3 linked regions of the Caenorhabditis elegans genome follow. The protein of the gene in region 2 interacts with the protein of the main gene of each other region in a pairwise test. Each region holds a gene or a part of one and is shown on either strand. Other genes may lie near its edges.

What was found. Proteins that work in one complex are often made in the same cells at the same time.
Region 1: the proteins of unc-5 (region 2) and max-1 interact in a two-hybrid assay, tested with the Caenorhabditis elegans proteins (one study listed by BioGRID).
Region 3: the proteins of unc-5 (region 2) and apb-3 interact in a two-hybrid assay, tested with the Caenorhabditis elegans proteins (one study listed by BioGRID).

Annotation. Positions count from the first base shown.
Region 1 is NC_003283.11:13,105,527-13,113,728, reverse strand, and holds the start of max-1 (PH domain-containing protein), read left to right. Parts: upstream 1-3,393; coding exon 3,394-3,495; intron 3,496-6,356; exon of another isoform or gene 6,357-6,628; intron 6,629-6,773; exon of another isoform or gene 6,774-6,921; intron 6,922-7,658; exon of another isoform or gene 7,659-7,873; intron 7,874-8,202.
Region 2 is NC_003282.8:5,523,358-5,531,578, reverse strand, and holds the start of unc-5 (Netrin receptor unc-5), read left to right. Parts: upstream 1-3,240; coding exon 3,241-3,322; intron 3,323-3,653; exon of another isoform or gene 3,654-3,674; intron 3,675-3,938; exon of another isoform or gene 3,939-3,959; intron 3,960-4,876; exon of another isoform or gene 4,877-4,897; intron 4,898-5,209; exon of another isoform or gene 5,210-5,230; intron 5,231-5,671; exon of another isoform or gene 5,672-5,692; intron 5,693-6,707; exon of another isoform or gene 6,708-6,731; intron 6,732-6,793; exon of another isoform or gene 6,794-6,814; intron 6,815-7,286; exon of another isoform or gene 7,287-7,308; intron 7,309-7,765; exon of another isoform or gene 7,766-7,786; intron 7,787-7,928; exon of another isoform or gene 7,929-7,949; intron 7,950-8,163; exon of another isoform or gene 8,164-8,184; intron 8,185-8,221. UniProt on the Caenorhabditis elegans protein: Receptor for netrin (unc-6) required for axon guidance. Mediates axon repulsion of neuronal growth cones in the developing nervous system upon ligand binding.
Region 3 is NC_003279.8:7,850,565-7,860,162, forward strand, and holds apb-3 (AP-3 complex subunit beta), read left to right. Parts: upstream 1-3,185; coding exon 3,186-3,262; intron 3,263-3,376; coding exon 3,377-3,455; intron 3,456-3,505; coding exon 3,506-4,216; intron 4,217-4,298; coding exon 4,299-4,421; intron 4,422-4,841; coding exon 4,842-4,976; intron 4,977-5,025; coding exon 5,026-6,019; intron 6,020-6,288; coding exon 6,289-6,710; intron 6,711-6,885; coding exon 6,886-7,182; 3' UTR 7,183-7,289; downstream 7,290-9,598. Other genes in the region: taf-5 (Transcription initiation factor TFIID subunit 5), read left to right, coding at 1-342, 393-583, 1,201-1,716, 1,891-2,265, 2,313-2,449, 2,820-2,934; Protein nud-2, read right to left, coding at 7,558-7,722, 7,989-8,104, 8,154-8,544, 8,630-8,839.

The DNA of each region.
Region 1 (8,202 bases), on a different chromosome or scaffold from region 2:
TCTGTAAGTATTTCAACTTTTTGACTCCTTTTGAGCATATTTTGACAAAACCCCCCACTGAAGTTTCTTCACCATTTGTTGAGTGACCCTGCAGAGTACGGACAGTACTAAATGTTTTTTCTAAACAACTACAAATGGGATTCATAATTCAAAATCTTTCTACGATTCATGCTACTTACGAAATTCATGTGATGTCAGAGTGTACCATCTCGGCTTGAAATCTGAATTCAAAAATCTTATTTTTGATTTTTTGTGCTACTCATTCACAGCTTCCCTCGTCCTAAAACTTGAACATGATAAATATGACTAGGAAATCTGCAGGAAACACTGAGTATATCTAGAACCTTCTCTCATTTTCCTTTCACTTTCTAATTTTCCCGGTCCTTTCCGCCCATCTATCTCTTCCAAAATGTGCACCATGCACAACCACAGATGAAAATCCGTTTAGCGCGGGAGAAAAGGAGAAGCCTTTTCGAATACTTTTCTGGGTGGCCTTCCCATTTTCTCTTTCAAAATTTCTTCCAGTAAAATCTCATAAAGGGATTACTGTACTATTGAAAGTGACAACTATGTATAAACTAATCCCTTGAAAATCATGACATTTTGATCTTTTGATGAGAGTCTACTTTAGAGTCAAGGGGATCCTTTTTTCAACGAACTTTGCTTGTAGTTCAAAAAACGCTGTCATCAATATTCTGTTGCTTCTTTGACTCTTTTCTACTTTTACAAAACATCTTCTTCTCTGCCTCACACGAACTTCTCCTTCTTCACCACAATTTTATTGCATTTTGACACGGAATGCACATTTATTCCCTTCTATCAATTGTAAACAAAATCGAATTTTTTGAGCAGAAAATTGCAACACTTCTTAAAAATGCCTTTGAGTTGTTTTGTGTTTTCGTTTTTTGAAAAGCACCGGAAGAAAACACGAAAATGCGTTGTCGGAGGTCAAATTGAATTGTTGCTTTGTTGTTGGAAGTGCACGTACATTGTGGTGGTCCGAAAAGTTTTCTCGTCTATTTTTTGATGCTTCACAGGGCTTTATAGTTTTAAAGTTTTTTTTTTGAAATTCAGATATGTATCTTTTCATTTTTTGATGATCCATGATACGCAAAGTAAAGGTTTTCAAAAACTTGAAAAAAAATAATACCATCATTTTTTGACTGTTGACCATTCCCTACTTATGATGTTTAGTCGCAAAAGCTCAAAATCTAAAAAGCCAAAAGGGTCTGAAAGTGGCCTATATTCACTATCAAAAAATTGAGTACATACATAATGTAGTGCAACTTCAACAGTGACATCAATTTCAAATCGATCACAGAATTCTAGCATAGTTTAAAAACCGGTGCCTCGAAGTAACCGGTGCATCGAAGAATATGCAAATCAACGTTTCGGCAGCTGATGTTTATGATAAAACTGTTATTCCTGCACACAGTGTCGACAAAATATAGTCATCATTTTGTAGTCAATTTCTTCCTACAATATATATCTAGAGAATTTCAAACTTGAGCAAATTTTTCTAGACAAGAAAACGGACTTTTTTGTGTACCCACTCCTATTTTTTTAATGAAAAAAAACTGAAAAAACTGAAAAAACTATAAAACCTAAAATTAGACTAATTTCCTATAAATAGTACTCGAAGACTAGGAATATTGTTAATACAACTCCATTTCTCATCAAATGACACTTATCCATCTCCTATCGGTCATTTTTCTTTGGTTCGTTCTAAAACCTTCCGGTGGTCTCTTCCAACCTTCTTCTCGTTAATGATCTTCTTCTTGTTTCCGTTGCCTCAAAGCTCCAGAACTGCCCTCTTCAATGCCTTTTCTCCATCTTTTTTCCCTTTACTTCGTCTTCTTCCATTGCCTCTCCCGGCTTCACAAAATTAATTTCTTGCGCTCATCGTCCTCTTCCCACCGCCCGTCTTCGTCCTTCCGTCTGACGTCCCGTCTTTGGAAGACTCGTCAAACTGGTAGCAAAGAGCTCATGAGCTCTCCATCCGTTTCTCATTTTACTTTGTGATAGAAGAGGGGCGTGGGTACACCAAAAAAAGATGTGTTTTTGAATCATGTTGCGAAATTTGTTCGTTATCTGATTACGGCTGCAAGAGGAAGAAAACCAACATCGAAAGGCCGTGAGGTCCAATGGGTCTTTTTGTTGACGAGAGGATTCCTCTGTTTTCTTTTTTGGTATAGATTTCTTACCTAGATGAACAATTTACGTCCTACTGTATTTGTAATAGAAAATATAACATGGATTTCTATGTTTTTTTAAGTTTGAAAAATCATAAAATAAGTAACCAAAAGTGTATTTGAGACTTCAAGCATAGTCTGCTCAAGCTGTTATTTGAATCTCTTAAAGTCTTAAATTCAGAAAGAGATATCAAAGTTAGGGGAAAATAAATTTGAATTTGAATTATTCCAAATTTAGATATTTTTAAATGTTTTTATTCTCGTTCAATTTAATGTGCATTCAATTTGTATTGCCGTAAATATTGTAAGGATGAGCCAGCCATCCATATTTTCGAAAAAAGTGGGATCTTTGTTTAATTGCCAATTGGTCTGGGTATAAAAAAGCGTTATATGTGGTTTTTTGTTCAGAATTTCATAAAAATAATATGGGTAAAACTTTCCAAAAATTCAAACCATAGGTATGACCAAGGAAAGTGTAGGCACGTAGGCGTAGGTCTCCTTGTGGGTATCGTAAATTGAAAATATAAAGAATAGGTAGATTATTTTTTTTGAAAAAAAACGCTTTGAATTTTTCCAAATTGAGAACTATCCAACTTTTTAAATATTCCCAAAATCTCAAGTATAAACAATCTTCCTCAAAACTTTCTTATCGTCATTCATCTGAAATCTCGAGTGATGGAACATTGTGCAATAGATTTGTTGAGGAGATACATACAAGAAGACACAAATTATGCAAGTGGTTTGTGTTGTAGAAAGAGACGAATTGAAGAAAATGGGGAGCATGAGAGGGAAAGAGAGGCCCCCGGATTGCACCACCAGACCTCCCAAAATCGCGCAATTTGATGCTAATACATAGCTTTTGAAAATTGGTGGTGGGGGCGGAGGACATTGGTCAAGAGATGGACATCGTATTTTATTACCACAACTATTCACAACTCATTCTTTCTTTTCATTTTACTTTATTTTTTCTTATACTTTTTACAAGAAAAAATGACAAAGAAATTCGAACTGACATAAGAGAGTCATCATTTTTGACAACTCTTTTTTCTTCTATTTCCGTTATTTTTTTCTAAATCGGCTTCTTCATCTCTCTTGAACAATTATTTCGCTGCTCTTTTCTCGGTCTCTCCCCCACTAAAAACTCTATTTTGTTTATTTCGTCTCACTCTTTTTTTTGTTAAAATTATGATTTTTTGAAGGAATGAGCGACTCAAGCGCATCCCCATTACGCTCACCAGAGGATGAGGAGCTACTCGCAAAATCATCGAGAATACGATTATGGGTTACAAAGAGAATGAAAGAGGTGAGTGATTGTTTGGTAGGGAAAATGTATGTTAATCTGATTATAAAGTTGAAAAAAAAAGGAAAATCGAGTGACTACCAACGTTCAGTTCAATCTCTATTTTTTCAAGATAAACTTCTCATGAGGACTTGTTTCTATCCTTAGAAAATCGTTTCAAAAATGTGTTATATTTGTTAACAAATTTTTGGATATTTGCCGTTTCATTTTTGATAAAAATCGATCTTGAAGTAATTAAAAATTGAGCCCAACACGGTTTTTTTTATTTTCGTCCCTATAACTCTCTGTTTATTTATGATCTTTTGCTCTCTTTCAGCACTTAAAGGGTTACTCCACCTCTGCAAATTGCGGTAAAACGTGTTTTTGATAATTTGACGACAGATTTTCTACATGAAATAAATTACAAAATTATTGTGATTTCAAACTCTGAAAACCACGCCTTCTAGAGTTCAAAAAAGGACATACTGCCTACTAGTGTTTAGGTCAGACAATAATAAAATTTCATTAAAAAATTAGTGAATAGTACAGCCACTCTAAAACTTTTGAGACTTAGAAATATGGTATAGCATTCCTTTCAATTCGATTTTTATAGTTTCCAAAATCATTAAAAAATATAACATTGATACCTAAATATCATTGAATACTTACTTCTCATTGTTACATTTGTTTTTTAGAATGGGAAAGGTACAAAAACAGGGATGTGCAGTGGTCAACAAGTAGTCATATTAAATGAACAATATTAGTCCTTATTAGTTATTCCGTGTGTATGCCAACTCATTTTGTGTTCTCTCCTCTCCTCTTCTACACCTATTCAAATGATAATCTATATACGTGTGTTCGCCCTGTTCATTTAACATTCGGAAACATTTTCCTGGTAGTTGTGCTTTTAGTTTAGTTTTTAAAAAAATGTTAAGAAAAATTTTGAATTTCCGGATTAGCCCAGCATATTTTGCGTCCTAGAAAAAACAGAAAACGCGGGAAGTGTAGCTAACCTTTCTAAAAATGGGATTTTACAGACCTGATAACTTACGATAGACTTTAAAACTTTCTAACAACTTCAAAACGACTGAGATGCCAAATATAGAATTAAACTTTTGTTAGAAAACTATCTTTATTATTTTCAAATCTAGTATACATCCTAACCATGTGTTCCCTTTTTCATTCAATCTGTTTTTTTCTTCAAACAATACTTGCTCCCACCAAATCTGCACTAACGACATAACACATTTTGAGTCCAAAAATTATGAGCATGAGCACAAACATTGTAGATGCCAACATGTTGGTTCCCCCAAGATATCAGGTTACCTTCCTGACAACATTTCTTGACGTCTCCCTTCCGACATCGTTTTCTTCTTGTTCTTCTTCATCCGGTGGTCCAACCCAGTCTGAATACCTTTTTTCTTCTACAAATTCTTACTTTTCTGGGTAGTTGACTCCGAGAGTTTGGAAGAAGACAAAGCTTTGAAATTTGCATAATGAATGAGTGACGGCTGGTTGATTTTTGAGTTTAGAACGAAGAATAGAGCACTCTGAACCTCTGACTGAATTCCCTTGAGTTTGAGTTTTCGAACGGGAAGAAGCCCATTTGTTAACTGCGTTGAGTCTTTCTACTTTTAAGAATTTCTGCTTTCAAATGGAGTAGATATTCTGAGAATATTGAACAATTTTAGAGAACAGAATTTTGAGAATAGTTACTATTTTCAGAAACTGCTTAATATTTATTTTAGATAATTTTGTTTAAAAAGGATCTATCCATTTTGCTTTCTCAGTTTCAAGAATTTACCTGCTAATTTAGTTTTTCACATTCAAATTTTTGGCGCCTTGATACCACCCACAAAGTATCATTGTTCGTTGTGAAATGTCCTCCAAAAACCTACACTCTGATTCCACATTAATCTTCATTGACACCTTGTTCCATGATCACTAATGAATATTTCGTACTACACAATTTTCTATTCATCCACTAATTCCTTGGATCCGCTTTTGCTGCTACTCGGAGATGATTACGGTTATTAAATGAGAAGCTAAACAGTTGTAAATGATGGAAGAAACTGGTTTAGTCCAGTACTAGTACATCTTTAACTCACTCGTATAGTTGTTTCTCTTCATTCTCACTCGTTTGTAATTCTGAATTTTCAATTTGGAAATTTATTTTTCTATGGTGGGTGAGGCATTTTGTGTGTGTTTGAATACAGGATGAGAAGTTCATTTTTCTGTTGTTTCACGTCATTTCAGAGTAAACGATTTGGTTTTATAGGTATTAAAAACACTTTTAACCAGACTTATTTCCAAATATGATAACATCTGTGCTGAAGCAGTTCAATATCCACACCTATTATTTATTGAAATTGAGAATAGCTGTCTTCTTCATAAACTTAACGATTTAAAAATTAAAGGAATAGTCGGAATTTTTTTTGAACAGTTTCAAATTTTATGACCTTCAGCAGAAATCAGTTCCATTTGTTTCAAAACTTTGAACTTGGTTTTCTATTGAAGTATTAAAGAATCTTGAGAGCTTTTACACGTGTTCAAATATTTTTTTTCAATGTTTTTCCTTTTCTCTCTCGCTTCGTTTTTTTGTTTGAAAAATCGTTTTTTAAAGTTGTTTCCAAAACCTTTAAATTTAAAAATTGACAAATTTCCGCAATTTATCATTTGGAACCAAACGGATCAGCAAAAAAAAATTTAGAACTACTATTCGAAATGCATGCATTTGTGTGCCAGGCTTCCCAAATTCACAAGTATACGCCACCACAAATCTCTCTTTTTTGGGCTTTTCCGTCCCGTTTTACGCTGTCCTATGGCATGTCAGTAAACCTCGGTAGTGCAGCTCGTTTTGGAAACTCTAGAAGACGTCGTATATACTCCTTCTCAACCACTTCAATCAAAAGTGTGTTCGTTTTCACTGTGAAATCATCTCAGATTTCTTTAAAATTTTCATCACTTTTTCCTCAATTTTCTTTACTTTCGTATTTTACTCCAATTTAATAGAATCTTCGAGTTGCGCAGCTCCAAGTACCCAACTTGCCCATAAAACTGTGAGTAGTGGAGTCTGAGAGCCTGGCACACATCTGCTGAACACCTTTTCACAAAATGGGAGAAAGTGTCTACAACAGGTGCTTTTTTTCACTCGGGTTCACTTTCATTTTCACCACTTTTCCATTTTATTTTTGAAACTGTACAGTAGGTGGGAATAAGGAAAAAAGAAAAAAAATTGGGAAAATTCCGTAGAAATTCGGATTTGTCTCCGCCTCATTAATCAAATTTTTGTTGCCGTTTCATTCGTCACAACGTCGAAAAACGACTTCAGATTTAGAAGGGTGTTCTTTCTCATTCTTCAAACGTGTTCCATTTGCAGTTGGCTTTTAGACCTATTTCACTTGAACATTTTTTTCAAAAAAATAGGGTAGAAGCTTTATGAAAAAGTTTTAATTCATATTTGTACATTTGATCAGAAATAAAATCAAGAACGCTGTTGTGATGTTGTAGAATCATTTTAAAAAATCTGAAATAACCCCGAAGTTGATAGTTTAAAAGATGAAGTACCAATGGGCTTAAAAATTAAATTTAAAACAATTTTAAAATGGTTTTTTGTGGTTTCCAGTCACAGTGAGATTCTTTTTGCAATTTCCGTAGATTTGAACCTTCACGATGTTCTAGATGAAAAAACGAAATTTTACAATTCGCGGAAACTTCCTTTGAACGACTTCCAAAATAGTGAGTTGTGTAAAAGTTGCCAACTGTCACTTTTTGACTGTAAATTTTTTTATAAAATTGAATTGTTTAACTGTAGTCTTTGGTCAGTAACTTTGAGGAGTTTCCCCACTGGCACTACTCAATTTCTTCAAAATACCATTGAGAGGTTCCAGAACTGTTTTAACACACTATTTTTCGTTGCAATCTATTCCTATTTCAGTTTTCTTTGCTTTTTCACAACTTTCTAACACCTTATCAAATGCTATTTTATCATTGACAATCTGTCAATTAAGTGCGATAACATCTGTTTCCGGTGTGACGTGATTCTGTCTCCACTCTATGAATCCAATTACTTTCTCATCTAAATCTCGTTTCTCGCGCACTTTCAAGTGTTCTCCTCCTCCTTCTTCTTCCTTCACTCATCCGTCATATTCAATACTCTTATTCTCATTAATTTCGCAATTACTATGCAGTTGTGAATATAGGCTTCTTCCATGGCGAAGCTCTTCTCTCTGTTTGCAACGTCCGATCATTTTGCTCTCTTTTTCGTTTTCTTATGCATTTCAAATAGAGTAGCGTAGTCTCAAACATCTCTAGAGAGATGAAATGCAACATTTTATTGGTTCCGAAAACGGCTAGCACTGCTTTTTTCCTTTTCTTTTTTGGTCAACTTGTTTTGCAAAAAGCCAAATTTGTAGAGTGCTCATAAACCATTTTTCTAGGGTTTTCAGAAATTTTGACTACAGTTGTCATTTTGTGAAAAATTGCAAAGAAGTGCAAAACAATGTGTTTATTGCTGGCTTTTTTGGTTCATCTGTGAGCCAAAATTTTGTTTTTTTTTTGCACCACCTGTTTGAAAAGAATTGAAGTGCCAGTGCCAGTAGGAGTTTATCAATATAATATTTAATGAACAAAGAAAAATACGGTAGAATGACACTGGAACTCAATTCGGTGTTATTACTGTGTGACAAGACTGCCTAGCCCTCCAACCAAGAATTTGACCACATGATAGCT
Region 2 (8,221 bases):
ACATTTTTCTAACCATTTGTTCCAATCTTCTTCTTTTTTATATTTTGTATCTCATCACCTGGAGCCAAGAAGAACTCACCTGTGAAGATGAAAGCTGATGGAGGCGGAGCCTGAAGAAGTGATCCCAGGTGATAAGAGAGTGAGATGGAGAGTCCCACAAAAGATTGACATTTTCTAAAGATTTGTGGAAAATAACAAGAAAAATCGGTCGAAATTTGTTTGTTTATGTTTTCAGTTTCATTCCTTTTTTATGTGAAACTTTTTTTCAAAAAAAAATTGCTGTTTCATGTTTTCTATTTCTTGTTTTCTCCGAAATTAGCAGTGCTGTGTTAGATATTTACGTTACTGATTAACTGATAACTGGAAATTATATGCATCTTCCTACCACCATCTAGTGATAAGAAATTGGAAACGCTCTTTTGAAACATTTTATGTTCCATAATAACTTGCCAACTTAATGACCAATTTGGCAGACAAGCGTGCTGAAATTGCTTTATTTTAAGAGATATCAAATTTAAGGAGACAGTTTATATAGTAGTGTTGTAGAAAAAATAGAAAAAAGAAGGGTGTGAGTACTACTGAAAATTTGATGGGAAATCGAATCACTTGTTGTCTCTTTTTTTTGGGGGGACAATTTTATTTGAAAGAAATTCGTGTTTTTTTTCTCTGTTGCAGTTTTATTTCATAGTTTTGCTATTTTTATATTCGCCGTTATGAATTTAATTGTGAGATCATTTTCCCTTTCCTAAATTATCCCTAAAATTATTCCTAAATTATTTGCCAAAAAAATTAAAAGAATATTAAAACTGTGTGAAGCGGCTAAATTTTCGAATTTCAACATTTTGAAAATAATTTTTTTTTATTTTCGGAGTTAAATGTTTTTATGTACTTTTTGACCTGTTAGACCAATTTTCTTTAAAATCTTAATAAACCCTAATACACCGATTTCAAAAATCAAAAGAATACAATTCAATTTAAATTTCTTTTTAATTTTCTGATACCTTTTCAAATTATATTTAAAAAAAATATATTTTATATCTGCTCAAGTATTAATTTTAAGTTTATACAAGCGTGTAAGTACGTTACCAATAAAAATGTTTGAATCATTTTTTCAATTCAAAATTTAACTTTTTGTTTTCTACTTGAAAAATCAATTATTGCAGTTTTACAATGCTTTCAAATATCAGCCTAACTTCCGATATACCATTGTTACTGCTATGCTTTTCTTGATTACATTTTTTTTCTTTATATTCATTGTATTTTCAAATCTGCAAAACTTGACAAAATAGAAGCGAAAACTTTCTTGTATTATTTTTTTTGAAACAAGTGCAAAACAGTAGTCCAAATATTTGTTATCTTATCTTGTTTTTTTTTATTTTGTCAAATGTTTTTGTTCAAACCTCTCAAATAATTTTTAAGACACCTATTATTCAAATTTGTAGTTTTTCCTTCCAACCCATGAAAACCTACAGTAACCCTTCAGGGAATCTCCCGCCTTTACCACGAGAATTTCTCTTTATTATGTTAATTTCAAGTTTTTGAGTTAGGCGGTACTCTTTTCATTCACTTGCTCAAATATTATATTTTCTCACAATTTCTCACATAATCTTGCTCTGCTTGACACATAGGACGATTAACATTGAAAGTTTAATAAAATTATAACATTTGACTTTGAAACAGTAATTTTTTTAAAAAAGAAATGTTCAGATGTCACTAACATTTCAAAAATCATGGTTTATTTATCAAAATAATGAAACAGGCTTTTACAGAAAAAATTGTTCTCTAGCTAACATCTCTAGTGAATAGTAAGTATTTTCAAAGACGACTTTTCTAGAATCTGCGTAACAATGGAATTCAAATTACCACTCCCCATATAATGATCTCTAAAAAATGTTTTTAGAAAAATTTTCCATTTTTTCAGATTCCATGCTTTGTTGTCTTAATTTCCACTATTTTCTATTCCTTCAGAATTCAATCACTGAAGATGAAGCACACATTTTTTTTACAGTTTCAATTGGATCTTTTGTGAATTAAGAGTATTTTTGTTTTATTGAATCCATTATTGTTATTGAGACAATAAAGCTTATGAGTTCCATGTAAGAAAAAGTTGGTCTGAATATTTATCAAATTCAAAATTCTTCAATAATTGAACGGGTATTATTCCAATTCTAATACAACTGTGAAATTATATAAAATTCATCAAAACTATGAAACATGTTTTTACTGGATCAAATTTTCTCTGGATGATTTTTTTTCATCAAAATCAATTTTTTCTGTATCCTGATTATATTCAAACTAAACCAAAGTGTGCAAATTGAAGAAAAAAAATCAACTCCCTTTTTTTAAGTTCGTTTAAAATTCCAATAACCTCCTATTTGTTTGAGAATTTAGTTTCTTGAAGCACAAAATATTGTTACAGTTTCAGTAAGGCTTCTTTTAAATTCAGATTTTTCTCCGACATTGCCTCGTATGATACCTTTGTATTTAATCCGAAAACAAATTCTTGAGTGTTCTATGATTGTAAAAAAGTCAAATAAGTTTTCTATGAGAAAATACAAAAATGTCTCTGTAGGTGAAGTGTAATAACATTGCAAACAGATTTTTACAGTTTTTTGAGCAGCAAGGAGTTTACATATCAGCACGAAACATCACGAAAAAGTTATCTAAAACTTTTTTCTAGATAGTTGAAATTTATAAAATTTATTTGTCTGTTTCAGTAGATTCACTTTATTTAATGCAACTTCAAGACCATAGTCGTATGTCAACAATTGTAACCCCTATATTGTAATTAAATTAAAAAGTTGACTGTTTCACCATGTTTTTTTTCAAAATGTAATTTCAAATAAGTTTTGATGTTCTGTGGTTTTTCGTTCCATTTTTTAAATAAGAAATAATTTTGGATCATTGAAAAAAAATCAGTTTAGAAAGTGAAAAAAATCTATAATTACTAAGTTTACAGACAGAAAAGTTCACTATTTTTTCCAACCCAAATCTAGAAAACATTGAACTCTGTCTGTGGTCTGGTTGGTTGTCCAATTTGTATTTTTCGGACCTTTATCCTTTCTTTAACATCTGGTTTTTATTACAAGAATCGCCGCTCTCTCTTCCTCTTGTTCACATGTCTTCCGTGCTCACAAAAACCTTTTTTATTTCTTCACGGGACCTCCACAATTTTTTCATTTTGATTTTTATTCTTTCCATCAGTTTTTCCTTTTAATTTGAAAATTTGAAATTCTACAGATGGAGGACGACACGCCCGATGTGAGTTCAGATTCCAATGGAGATGCAGCATACAGCGATTATTTCTTGGACTACAAATCAAGTGAGTTTCTGATTTTTGAATTAATCCCTCTTATTTTATCCTACTTATAAAAAAGTTAAGGACTATCTTTTCTTTGTTTAGAAAATATGCCAATGGGTGCCCCCGGCAGGGGGTAACGGGGGTAAATATTAGGAAGTATTAAGAGGGGTCAGTGAATTGTTTGGTGTTAGTTTCAAGGAGCTATGACACTTTTTTTTGATGATTTGTCAGTAAATACTAGATTTGTTTTACTTTTGGTATCTGTATGGCCACGGTTTGAACATTTAAAAAATTTGAAAAAAATTACTGTTTCAGAAATTGTATAAGTATTTTAAATTTCCTTGTGATGTGATTGCGTTTGTTAAAAAAACATTTATAAAATGTTTATATAGTTTTGCAAAAAATTCTGAACTGTTTTCCCAAAGTAAAAATTCCCTCCGACGAGGAGGCAGACTCTCTCGCTTTGCAGACTGCCTTCTGTGTTTTTTTATAAAAACATTTCTTGAAACAATAACGTTACTTTAAAACTTACCTCAAAATTATCTTTGGTTGTAACATTTAAAAATCACGTGAATTTTGCAGAGATTCTATACATTTTCACAATTTTAATAAAGTCTGATCTATGAAACGTTATCAATCACACCTCTCCTTAAAATTGGGAATATAACGGAAAAGTTAACAAATTAAAGTTTAGTCAATATTTCTAAAAATTAACATTTCAAGAAAAATTTGATCAAGCAGTCATAATATACTCTAGCGCTTTCATTGATGGCAGGCAGGCGTTTTAATTTGCCTAACGTCTACCTGCCTTTTGAATATCCATTTTTATTTTGCTCTTTCATAAAATCAAACATGAGTTCACTAGCAGCCGACAGTATCTAGGTCTTGCGACTCATCATAAAACTATAAGTAGGCACAGAAACAGGCAGGCATTCTCTACCTTACTTCAGTTAGTCCCTTTCTCCAATTTCTTCCGTTTCCCACTCACTCATACATCATTGAACCTTTGAGAAGGTGTCCCATCTCCAAAGACACACGTGCCGCCACTTAATCCCAATTCTCGCCAGAACTCTTTTCACCACCACCACCAGTTGCTTCTTCTTCTTCTTCTGTTGTTTTTTTGTGTGTGTGCTCACCTCTTTCCCCTCTTCTCCAATCATCACCCATTCACACCACGGATGACTAGGTCCGATGATTTTTGCCGCCAAATGATATTGTTGTAACGTTTCCTGAGTCAATGATGATGACGACGTACCTGGAGGGGGGGGGGGGAGCGGTATTCTCTTTTTGATGGACCCCCCGTACATTCCCCCACAGGTATACCTTAATGTCAAATGTCAATCAGAACGAAAATATATGTTGTTGCTTTATTAAACTGTTGACATGTGTAAACAGAATATTTTACTTACGCATTAGTTTACTTTATGGCTCATAGATTCTCCAGTTGATAGATGTTGTAAAATTGGGAGAGGTTAATGGGTGAACGGGAGTGGTGTCACCTGTTTTCACATAGTTTGTATTATGACACTGGTTGCGATAAAATTTCAGTTTATAATCTGATAGTGAGGTCCAGCCGCGATAAAAATAAAGATTATACTAATAAATACGAGTATCGTTACAATATATATAAGATAGATGAAACTGTAAAAAATTTGAAATTTTTTTTTCAAATTTTCTTATCAAAATTTATATTCCCGCGATAGCACGGATTTTTAGAAGGACTATCTCACGAAGGCAAATTCTGAGTGCCTGCCTACCTTCAAGCTGGCCGCGCCTGGCTTTCTTATGCAGGATTTTTTAATTTATGGCGGAAATATACATACTTTGATGGTCTAGAAGTTTTAAACGTCATCCGGCGTTCGAAACAAAAGTGAAATATAAATTTAAAGCAACAATTATTTTAACTAGTACAAACCATTGGCGTATGAAATAGATGCAGTTATCTCTACAAAGTTTGAAAGTTATATGAAACTGTAATTTTTTTTTCTTAATTTTTCAAGTTTTCCCAACAAAATAGTTAAAAATTCTGTTTCCATGAGAGCATTAAATACCATATTTTCTTCCATTTTCTCCATTGTAGAATAGATTCGGGTGCAGATTATTCGAATCAGATCTACGATTAAAAAAAAATCAATTCAAAATTCAAATAATAAAAGAAAACAAAACTACTAACCTGTAAATTGGCAGTAGTCTATCTTTTGTGTGGTGCCTACACTGAAATTTTATTTTGTATTATGTTTTACATTGGTAGCGTTAAACACAGAAACAGAAGCAGCATCAATTATGAGAAAGTGTAAAAAATTGAAAATGTTAGCAATTATTTTACTGTTTCATATAATTTTCAAACATCGTAGAGATAATCGCATTTATTAACATCATGGTATCATCGTTCAAACAATTTATTCTTTCATTTTTGGTGATTTATCCAAAAGCTGTTAAATTCTCAAAATATTAATTTTCTTAAGTTTCCCCTAAATCAACTTGTTGTAAATTTTTTCAAGCTATCTGAAAATTTGCTAAAAATGGATGATAACTAGAAAAAATCGTTAGATTTAGCAGAATATTTTCCAGACGACTTTATTAAAACACTTGACCAACTTTTTGCGGTTAGAACTCAATCAATTTCCAGTATTCTTGGGAAAATTCAAAAAATGAAATTTCTGTTTTATGAAACTTTTAAATATTCGAAGACTTTATAACCTTGATTAGTCTAGATTTATCCTTTTCCAAAGTATTGTAAATGTTTCGAATATGACCATAAGAACCCCCAAATTCTATCTATTTCCGTCACAAAATCAAAAATCCTGGTGTTTCTGTGCGTCTCTCCGGTCTCTATCACTCTCTCGAATTATTGTGAAACGAGCAGTTGGTTTAGTTGGAAAAGAGCTTTCGGGTGTGATTTTTATGATGAATCGGCGGTTTTCTGGGGCGAAAAATAATCAAGAAAGTTGAGATGTATGGGAGGATGAAGTGGCAATTGGTGAGGAGGAGAAGCATGAAAAAACCAACAACTGAAAGACGTCAATGAGATGGAAAAGAGTGTAAAATTATTAGTGGAAACAATGATTGAGGTGGAAAATGAGTATATATATTTTTAGGGTTTTTGAGAAAACAGGGATAGTGGCAAACACTGGGAAAGTTTGGAGGAAGGGATCAGGAATTGAAATATACTACTCCCTACAGGTAATCAATTTTTTGTAGGCGTACGTAGGTAGAATAGCCAGCCTACATGGCGTTTACCGAAAAAAATTCAAGTTTTTTAAAATTCTTGAAATTTCAAGAAAAACTTTCTCATTCAACTTTTCCATATTTGGAATTACTTTTATCTTACGGAATTACATAAAAAAAGTCAAATTTTTATATGATTGTGTTGCTAAATTACAAAAAAAAAATTAATAAAGAAGTCGTTTGAATTTGATACAATGGAACAATAGAAAGTCAATTTTCTATGATTGATACAAGTTTATTGAAACAGTAATTTTTTGGAATTTCGGATAAACATGTTTAAAGTGATTAGTTTTACAAACTCACTGTTAAGTATACAATAAACATTGCTGAAACCGAAAAAAAAAGATGCTTTAAAGAATATAAGATTTGAAATTTTCTTCTGAGAATGGATATTTGAACTGCAAAAATGCAAAAACTTTTAAATTAAAAAAATAGGCCAACGAAAAAATGAATTACAGATAAAATCATTTGAAATTTCTGGCTTGATCTCATTAGCCCCGAGTTTAGTAAGTAGATTGTAATATTTTTAACATCGTTTATTTTTCTTCAAAAATGAGAACAATAAATTTAGAAACTAACAAAAGACATTTATTATCACAACACATATTTTCTGTTCAAAATTTCGAAACTCAAATTTTTCTCTTTCCAGATGTTTATAGGAGAACTAAAAAGTGTATTTGGAAAGTTGTTAGTTTGCTGTTAATTTTTTTATTCAGAAAACCAATAATTCTTAGAAGCTACAAATTATAATAAAGGCGCTGGCAAAAAAATCAATGGAATCAAATATATGAACTGTGAAACTTTTTTGATAACCTTTTGAAACAGTAAATTTTTGTACCGAATTTTTTTTGACAAGTCAAACCGCCAGTTTTAAAAAATCTAAAAATATGGGCATTCTTTTATTTGTTTCCTAAAAAATTCCTGGGATTCTGGATCAAAATTCCAAAAAATAACCAAAACAGCAAAACAGAATAAGTTATATTTGAAGAAACCTCGAAAAAATTCAATTATGATGCAGACTAAATTTGTACACCTCTTTTTCTAAATATAAATAATTTGAAACTGATAGGAATTAAAATATGTTATGTCTCCAAATTGCAGAAAAATAGTATCTTGGACTGAAGTCTGACAATTCAACTAAATTACCGAAATTCAAGATCATCTCTTAATGTCTTGATCAAAATTGCATGCTTGATAGGATTTGATATTGCATTCACATGATATACCTGTGAAACTCAAAAAGCGGATGGGACCCAATCAGAAAACCAGAAATTGTTAAATTTTCTCAAAAAGTTTTGAAACAGTAAATTTTTTCCAGTCACTTTTTTTTCGGAATGTCAAACCGCCCAATCTAAATAATGATGCTCATTCTCTCTATGTATCCTATAATTACCGTACATGAACCCAAATGTAACTGTCATTATTATATTCAAGACAATACGACATAAATAAGGAGACAGATACAGTAAGCGTGGTTACAACAGCAGATGTTGTTGCTTTTCTCTCCTCTTTTATTCGAATTACACCATATTTTACCTCTCTCTTCACATTTCTAATATGGTATGACAGAAGATCAGTGGTATCACAACGTTTTTTTGATTCGATTAAGATTATAGTAGTTCCGTTTCTCTGATTTCCCTCAATCTGCTGCTTCATCCTCTTGTTTTCTTTTTGAATCATTTTGGAAGAAGA
Region 3 (9,598 bases), on a different chromosome or scaffold from region 2:
ACGCAAACGATTGTACAGATGTTGTTCAAGCGGAATTCAGTCAACTTTTATTTCCTATATTTGCACACAGCTATATAGCTTTAATTGAAAAGCATGCCGCAACTGCCCGTATATTCTTCAATCGATTCAAGATTTTCATTCCTGAATGTTTCTCGGAATTTGTATATCAATTATCACTAATCGAAGATGCAATGACGTTACGAGCCAATGAACATGTTCACATTTTACGAGAAAATAAATTTCTTGTTCGACTTTCGAGGCCAACACTGAAACATCTTGAATCAATTCAAACGAGAGTGATTGGTGTTAAGAATATAATTGCAAAACATATTTGTATTGAAAGTAAGTATTCATTTTTATATACAAAAAAAATATAATAATATCCGTTAAAGATGCTGACGAAGTATCCACAAATCGAACGACAATAGAAACCCAAATGGGTGGAATTCTTGGAGTAACTTCGAAAAGTGATAAAAGACATAAAATGATGTTTTCGGTGTTAAAAGACGAATTGATGCAGAATATTGAAAAACGGAAGACAAAAGGAAAAGATTGGAAAGATATGGGAAAGAAAATGCAGACGGTAAGATTTTTAAACAATTTTTTTGAATTTTTTTGTACTGACAAGGAAAGATTTTCATCTTACCCTGAAATTTTAAAAATGTTTATCAAATTTTGTTTATGTTAATGAAAAAAAACATAAGAACATATATAATTGTTTTCTAAAAAAGAGAAAAAAATTGTCAATATTTTAAGCTAATTTTCAAAAAATCAAAAACAAAATCATTAGATTTTTCGATTTCCCAAAAACCGAAAAACGTAATATTTTCGTTATTGTTTTTTGTGAAAAATCGAAAAATGAACACCTTTGCTGATAACATATCGCTGTAACATTTTAATCGGCATGTTATGTTGAAAAATCTAATTTTAAAACAGTTGATTTTTTTCTGAATAAATTTCCAAAAATAATGTTTGGCTACACCTAAACTCTTTTGAAGTCTTCAAAAATATTCAAAAGTATCTTTTGGAGCAACTCTAATGGCCTGAAAATAATGCAAAAATACACTGAAAAATACAGTCAAAATTTAAATGGTTGAGGGTGTAGCTGTGACGATTAAAATTTTTTAGTGTGTTTTTTGAGTCCCTCTCCCTTTGTTCTGTAATTTTCATAGTTCTTTGTATATATCTTGTTATTTCCAGCATTGCCCACAAGCTGACCGAATTCCTCTTCCACCAATCAGCGAACATCTTCGAGAGGAACGACGAAATTGGCTTCGAGACGTCGGAAAAATGGCCATCATTTCAGCTGAATCACCCGTTTCCATTTGTATGTACACAACAGTAAATGCACCAATTGGAGTGGCTTCATGTGATTTTACGGATGATTCAAGTCTTATTGCAATGGGTTTATCTGATTCTTCAATTGTTATGAATGCAATGGATCCGATGAATAAGATGAAGAAGCTTCGTGATATGGAATTTCTTGATAAAATCGATATTGAAACTGCGGATAACGTGCAATCACAAATGTTTGATTTACAAGGATCAACGACAAGTGTGAGGTATACAGGCCACGGTGGTCCCGTGTTTTCTGTCAATTTTTCACCGGATCGACGACTTCTTATATCATCTGCCGGAGATCGAACAGTTCGACTTTGGAGTATGGAGACTCAGAGGAATGCTGTTATTTATAGAACACCAGCAGTAGTTTGGCAGGTTTGTATTTATATAATTTTAACTAGCATTTTAACTGAGATATTTAGTGTCGTTGGTAATCTTATTTCAAATAATAGATCATTATCCGAAATTATCGAATTTAACTAATAAAAAAACTGTCTCATAAAGTTTCAGCGCAACGTTCTACATTATCTAATCTGAAAACTATTACAGGCTCAATTCTGTAGTCGTGGATACTATTTCGCTACAGCAAGTGCCGATAAAACAGCTGCAATGTGGTCGACAGATCGAATGCATCCACTTAGAATATTCGCTGATCCATATGGAGACGTTGGATGTATTGATTATCATCCAAATTGTAATTATATTGCTGGAGGATCAGATGATAGATATGTTCGAGTATGGGATGTTTGTTCTGGTACTCGAGTTCGCATTTTTAGTGGTCATAAAGCTTCGATTATCGCTGTCAAGTTCTCCCCATGTGGTCGGTATATCGTCTCGTTAGATGCTATTGGAAATCTGATGATTTGGGATTTGGCATACCAGAGATTAGTTGCAGCTGAAATTACGGAACAAGCTGGAACGAAGGTAGTGAAATATAAAAATGATAATATCATATTACTAGTTCATTTCAGGGTTCAATTACATTCTCTCGTGATGGTGGTGTATTTGCGGTATCCCATGGAAATTCAAGTATTCAATTATATTCACTTGATACTCTTATTGGAACAGTTCTCGCCGCTGGACAAAATGATTCCTACATTGAGCCAAAGTAAGTTTTAATTAGGAACAAAATACTTGGAGAAATATACAGGTACAAATATTATGAAAACGCAGAAAAATCCCCTTACGAGAAAGAAGAAAGTATAAATTTTATTCATCAAATTAGCCATAACATTTTTTTAAACCACTTAAAAACAGGACAAATGCTTGAAGATCGGAGAAATCGGCAATACTAAAAACTTTCGAATTTACGGTTTTGTCGCCAAATACCTAATGAGACCTATGGCTTGGGGGCGGGGCGTATTTATTCGGCAGTGGAGCGCGTTTCCACTTCAGAATGTCTTTTCTAAGTCCTCATAATATATAGTTTCTCGAAAACTCCTACAAGCTTTTTTCAATCAATTTTTACAAAATTTCAGAGTGAATCTGGACGGTTTCAATATAGGATCATATGCAACAAAAGAAACTGCAGTAATCGGACTCCATTTCACTCGTCGAAATCTTCTTCTTGGATTTGGTTGCTTCGGGCAATAACTGTCATCTTGCCTGCTATTATTTGAACATTTTATCTTTAAAATACATTATCTCAAAATCTGGTCTTTAACGTGATCCTCTCATTCATATTAAATCTCTTTTTCACTGGTGGAATAAAACCTTTTAACAAATTTTAAATTTATTTTAAAATCCCTTTGGCTTTATTTTGGAATTATGTGTTCATTCCGACACTGCAAATATTTTATTACATTTTTTTCTCTTTTTTAAAAATAAGGTTATTTTATTTTCAGATGACGTCGTTCGTCGAAGGGTTGACCAGCCCTGAAATGGAAATTGCTGAGGGCGGAGTCATCTTGGATAATAGGACGTAGGTTTTTTTGTTAACTTAAGACTAATAAAAATACTTATTTTTTAAAAAATTTCAACAGTTACATTTTAGGTATAACTGTACGTAACATTTTTCGAATATATCTACTTTCAGACGATTCGCTGACCTAAAAGCCATGCTGGATAGTAATAAAGATAACCTAAAAGTTGATGCAATGAAACGAATAATTAACGTGAGATTTTATTTCCAATAAATTATAATTATCTAAACTTGAAATTTCAGCTGATAGCGAAAGGAAAAGATGTCAGTGAACTATTTGCTGCAGTTGTGAAGAACGTAGCAGCAAAAAATGTGGAGCTGAAAAAGTTGGTATTTGTTTATCTTGTACGATATGCCGAAGAACAACAAGATCTTGCACTTCTCTCGATATCAACTTTCCAACGGGCTCTCAAAGATCCGAATCAACTGATTCGTGGAAGTGCTCTCCGAGTTTTAACATCAATCCGTGTTCCGATGGTCGCACCAATCATGCTTTTAGCCATCAAAGATGCAGTACGTGATATGAGTCCATACGTGAGGAAAGTTGCTGCACATGCCATACCAAAACTATACTCACTGGAACCTGAACTCGAACCTCAGCTTGTCGATTGCATAGATTTTCTTCTCGCTGATCGAAGAAGTTTAGTACTCGGTAGTGCTGTTTACGCATTTGATGAGATCTGTCCACACCGACTCGATCTTCTTCATAAACACTTCAGAGCATTATGTCGTGGTTTGGCAGATGTCGACGAATGGGGTCAAATTGTGATGATCAACATGTTGACTAGATATGCAAGACATGAATTGGCGGATCCAGATAGAGGACCACCCGATACGGATGTTGTACTTCTTCTCAACTCAGCTCGTCCTCTACTTCAATCAAGAAATTGTTCAGTTGTCATGGCAGTCGTACAATTATTTTATCATGTTGCGCCGAAAGCTCAACTCTCTCAGGTAAGTCAAGCGGAAAAAAATATGGCTTCAGAAATTTCAACTGAAAAGTTAGTAAAGTAAAAATAAAAACTCTTATTTCCAGATCGCCCGTGCACTTGTCCGACTTCTACGTGGTCCACGGGAGACCCAATACGTAGTTCTCACCAACATTGCAACAATATGCGAACGAAATCCGGTAGAGGAAGGAACTTACGCCATCTCAAAAGTGCGCTGAACGCAACTGAGAAAATAGCATGAAAAGCATGTAAAGACTGAGACAAATCTAGAAGAAACTGTTATACATTTATCAGTTTTTGAATTAATTTCACAAAATGATAAATTTGTGATAGCAGTGGTTAGCGTCTCAGTCTTAGAGTCACTTTCCCCGTTTTTGTGTTGTCTTAATCTGGATTGTCTGAAATTCTTTTAAAATGAGATATCTAGCTTTTTGAACGATATTGTTGCTCAATTGAAGTGCACTGTGATGTTTTTGCTCATAAGTAAATACATAGAATTCTTGGTTTTGACAAATGAGACAATCCAGATATTTTTACCAGTGAATTGGAGTGCTGCTTGGTTGTGTTTCAGTGTACTTGTCTTTTGATGGAACTTTTACATATCAAAAATCAATTTTTTTCACTCTCAGACGATGTTCGACCCGTTCCTAAAATCATTCTTCGTACGATCCTGTGACAGTTCTCTCGTTAAGAAACTAAAACTTCATGTGCTCACAAGTTTGGTTTCAGAAGCGAATGTTCATATCATTTTGAGAGAGTTACAGGTGAGAGAGGGTAATAAATTTTCATATGAAATTCTTTTTCATTTTTCAGACCTATGTTCATATGTCTGATTTAGCTTCTCCAGCTGTTGAGGCAATTGGAAGATGTGCAGTTCGCGTCGGAGCAGTATCAGATCAATGTATGACTGGACTTGTCCAATTGATTTCTTCTTCCGATGAGAAAGTCGTATGCTCTGCTGTAGTTGTCATCAAGAGACTTTTGCATGCTTCTGCCCCTCTGAATCTTCTTTCAAGGCTTATGAGGCTCATGCCGAATATGATTGCAGCACAAGCGCGAGCTTGTGTCATTTGGCTCGTCGCCACCCATGTCGAACAAGTTCTACACATGGCTCCAGACTTTTTGAGGCTTATTGCAAAGAAATTTTCGACGGAAAATGAGCTGGTTAAACTAGAAGCTCTGAAACTTGCAGTGAAGTTGTGGCTTGTGAAGCGTGATGACTCTGAAAAGATTGTACAATACGTATTCCAACTTGCCCGATTCGATCTCAGTTATGACGTTCGTGATCGATGCCGATTTTTACGGAATCTAATGTTCAATACGGAGATTCTTTCACAGCATATGGAAGAGATTTTCATGTCGAAAAAGCCAGCACCAGAGCTTATTAGTAGTTTCAAGGAACGTGATAAATTCCAATTGGGATCTCTGTCACATGTGTTGAATCAAAGATGTACGAAATACATTGATCTACCCGAATTCCCAGCAACATCAAGTGATTCGTTATTAAGAAAAGAAGCACATGCACCGAATGAATTGAAATTGGATGATAGTGACGAAGAAGAAGATGATGATGATGAAGATGAAGAAGAAGACGAAGATGAAGAAGAGGAGGATGAAGATGAAGAAGATGAGGAAGAGGAAGAAAATGAATCAGAAGAAGAAGAGGAAGATGATGAGGATGAAGAAAGTGAAGAGGAATCTGATGAAGAAGATGAAGAGGAGGAAGAAGAGGATGATAGTGAGCCAGAGGAGAAGCCTAACCCAAAACCATCTACTAAGAAACAAGCACTCATTCTCAATAAATCAAGTGAGTTTCAATCAAAACCGATTTTAGGGTAGCACAAAAGAATATTCCTGTAAAATCTCGGACCAAAACAAACAAATTCGTGAAAATACCAAGAAATAACTCTATCTTGGATTTATTGTAAACTTTAAAAAACCCCATTAACCACATTTGGTAAGGTATATATGCAAAACATGAAAAGTGTTTGAAGTACAGATCTGTAGAGTTACGGTATTATTCGTGGCTACAGTACCCCTAACCGTATTTGATTCTTAATATTCAAAAAAATTCAGAACCAATGAATGGTAAGCCAAAAACAGAAAGAAATGATCTCGATTTGCTGATTGACGTTGATTTCTCGGCCGCGGGAAGTCGTCAAATAATGGATGCAACTCATATCGAAGAAAAAGAAATTGAACTTTTGAATGTAATTGAAGGAAACGGGCTAATATTATCAATTAGTTATCCGCGTATTAATGATGGACAATACACGGCTATTCGATTTGGAATCACAAACAAAACCGATGGAGATTTGTTAGGAGTTGAATTAAAAACTGAAGAAGGTCTCGATGTGAAGGGAAACTCGATTATTGGAGATATTCCGTCTGGAGCACGAGTTTCTGTTGATTTGCTCGTAGATTTTGGAGATAGTGCGACAAGTAGAGAATGGATACTTACAAGAGATGATGGTCATGAGAAGCATTTCAGATTTGAGGTAATCTTTTAAATAGTTTCAGAGGCTTTTAAAATTATTTTTTCCACAAAAAAAATTGAAAAACGTAAATACTCCCTTGATGGTTAATATTTTATATCAAAACTTGTATAATTCCTGACTAGATTCCACAATCCGCATCTTTTAAAGATAAACTAAATTTTTTCCTAAATTCTAGGTCCCATATGGTGAGCAAGTTCAACCAATTCGTCTGTCTCCAGAAGATATTTCAAAAGAAAGAAGTCGTCTTGGAGGTCTCAATCGGCATGTGATACAACTCGAAAATCCCATTAATCCTTCGTCAATTGCTCTATTTGTTAACGCATTTTCTTCGGATTTGACCATTTTCACTTGCCAGACACGTTCACGAAAGGATGTTTGTATTCTGACAGTTTCAGAAAAATCGATTGAGTGCTGTTGTGACAACTCGGTGATAGGACGAATGCTGGCGTTCTCTGTCTCCAAAAATTGCTAGAAAGATTAATTCAAATTGTATTTATTTATTTATTTTGCTCACTTTTTCTTGAAATCATTCCTTTACTAACTATTCATGGTGACGGATATATAAATTTTTAACAGAAAAATTAGAAATATGTAGGCACTTTAGAAATTTGGAAAATAATGTGGGTGAATGGCGAACGTGGAACTTATATTGAGCAACAGTAAGGCGGGGCAAATAAAATCGGGGTCTAATACCAATTGGGTGGGAATAAAACATAAGCATGATACAGGATGTCATGGAAAAGAATAATAACGGAAAGAAACGAAGGAAATGATGAAATGGAGGATCCCTGAGTGAATGAAAAGTCACAGTATGCGAGAAAGGTGAGAAAAACCAAAAAATGAAATGTTAAGCCCGTGTCGTTGTAAGATGACTGGAATTGTTGTTAGACGAGTTGTTGCTCACGCGAATCGTCGATAAAATTGAATCGAGCCGCTCGACTTTTGTCATCAGGTCTTTGACGATTCGATTGATGCAAGCACCGGCGCCCGTACCGGTAGATACTCGTTGGCTCTGAAAGCTATGTAAATGTTGGCTGAGAACTATAAATGGGTTAGCAAATATTGTTTTTTCGGTCTATTCTGCATCTAGAGATGCTATCGTTTATAGTTGTGAGGGAAAAAAGAATTAGAACTCGCTGCAAGAGTTTTTCGACTAAATGTTTTTCATTCCGAAATAAGGTGTGAAGCTATTAATTGATCGAAATTTGCAGGTCTTCTTTGAATTAATATTTGGATATTTACTTTCAAAAATCCACCAAAAAAAGAAAATTTACGTACTTTTTCTTGAATATTTTTATTGTCATCGATGCGCACTTCGTCAATTTTTGCAATAGTTTCCTCCATTCGAACATCTTCGTGGTGCTGCACGTCTTCCATGAAAACATCTTCCGAGCCTTAAATAGTACTAGTTATTTTCATTCTCAAAATGCGACAAATACTTACTCATTTTAAACTCTTCTTTACTTGGACCTGGGGATGGCTCGTCCGGCAGAATTTCTGGATCATTCCTCAATGGTTCTACAATCAAACGTGGCCGTTCTGTTGTTCGAAGTTGTTCTTCTCGTAATCTATGCATTTCTTCAGCAGCAACTTGCCGTTCATAAAGCTCACTTTCCAACATTGCTATCTTTTCAATAGCATGATCCAGTTTCGATCCGAGATCAGATGCTAGATATTCCTTATTTCTTTCTGATGTTTCGAGCACATCGTTTCTCTGTTCCAGTTTTCGAATTCTTTCTCTCTGACTTTCACATTGTTCATGAAGATGTGAGTTTTCTCGTCTTAATTGCTCTTCGACTTGTGCAAATTGTACACGGGAATCGTCCTGTCGATCCTTTAAAATTCACAAAATTCAAATTATAGTTGAAAAATTTTATAAAGTTTTTTTTTTCAATTTTAATGTAAAAAATAGTACCAACCTTGTTCCTAATTTGCTCTGTGGTCATCTGCTGTACTCTGGTTTCTGCTTTTTTCAGTTGTGTTTTCAAATCATCCAATTCTGAATCCATCATTTTCTCAATTTCCGCGGAACTTGTCTGGAACTCGTTAAACTCTTCGCGCATTTGCAAGAAATGACCAAGAAGCTCATGGTGCGGTAGTCCGCGAATTTGATCCTCAGACAAATCCATTGATTTCTGATGATCTGAAAATATTAAAGGTTTAGAAAATTGTTCAGGATATTCAACAAAAATTATGAATCGTAGGAAAAAACGTATAATGCCGCCTGTGAACACACTAAACCCTTACAACGTTCGGCCACGTGTGGACAAAAAGTGAGAGAATAGAATGGACATTTGGGAAAGAGAGAAAAAGAGAACTGGTCGAACGGAGGAAAACAGAAGCAACTACGTATTAGTTGCTACCGCAAATGGATGTTTTTTGAGGTTTAACGATGTTGAAGAAAAGTCTCAGTATTCTTATAAATCGGGATATCTAAGGTCGCCATCATCTGATAGACAGCTAAAGTCATCTCTCTGAGGAAAGATGGAAAATCCTCCAAAGTTTTTGACACAAGGCATTCGAGCAAACAAAAAAGTGGGGGTGCTCCGGCTGCTCCGGCCGCCGTGTGCTCTGTGTTTGTCCTTGCTCCCATAGCTCGTCCGCACTTCCGCTACAAAAAGTCGAACAGCTGTGCGAGTAACACCAATAGGCAATAATTTTAAGATCAGATAACCTTTGAAGATTTCAAAATACTTTGAAGGAAAATTTTACTGTTTTTTGGGTTTAATACACTGATGAAGTTCAAAGAAATCTGCTATAAGAAACTAATTCCGAAAAAATTAACACTTTTTGTAAATAGAATAGAATAGTCATTCAAGAAAATCTGTGTTAAAAGAAAAATTGGTAAATTTCTTCAAAGAGTATTCCAGAAATGGCAATCAATTTTA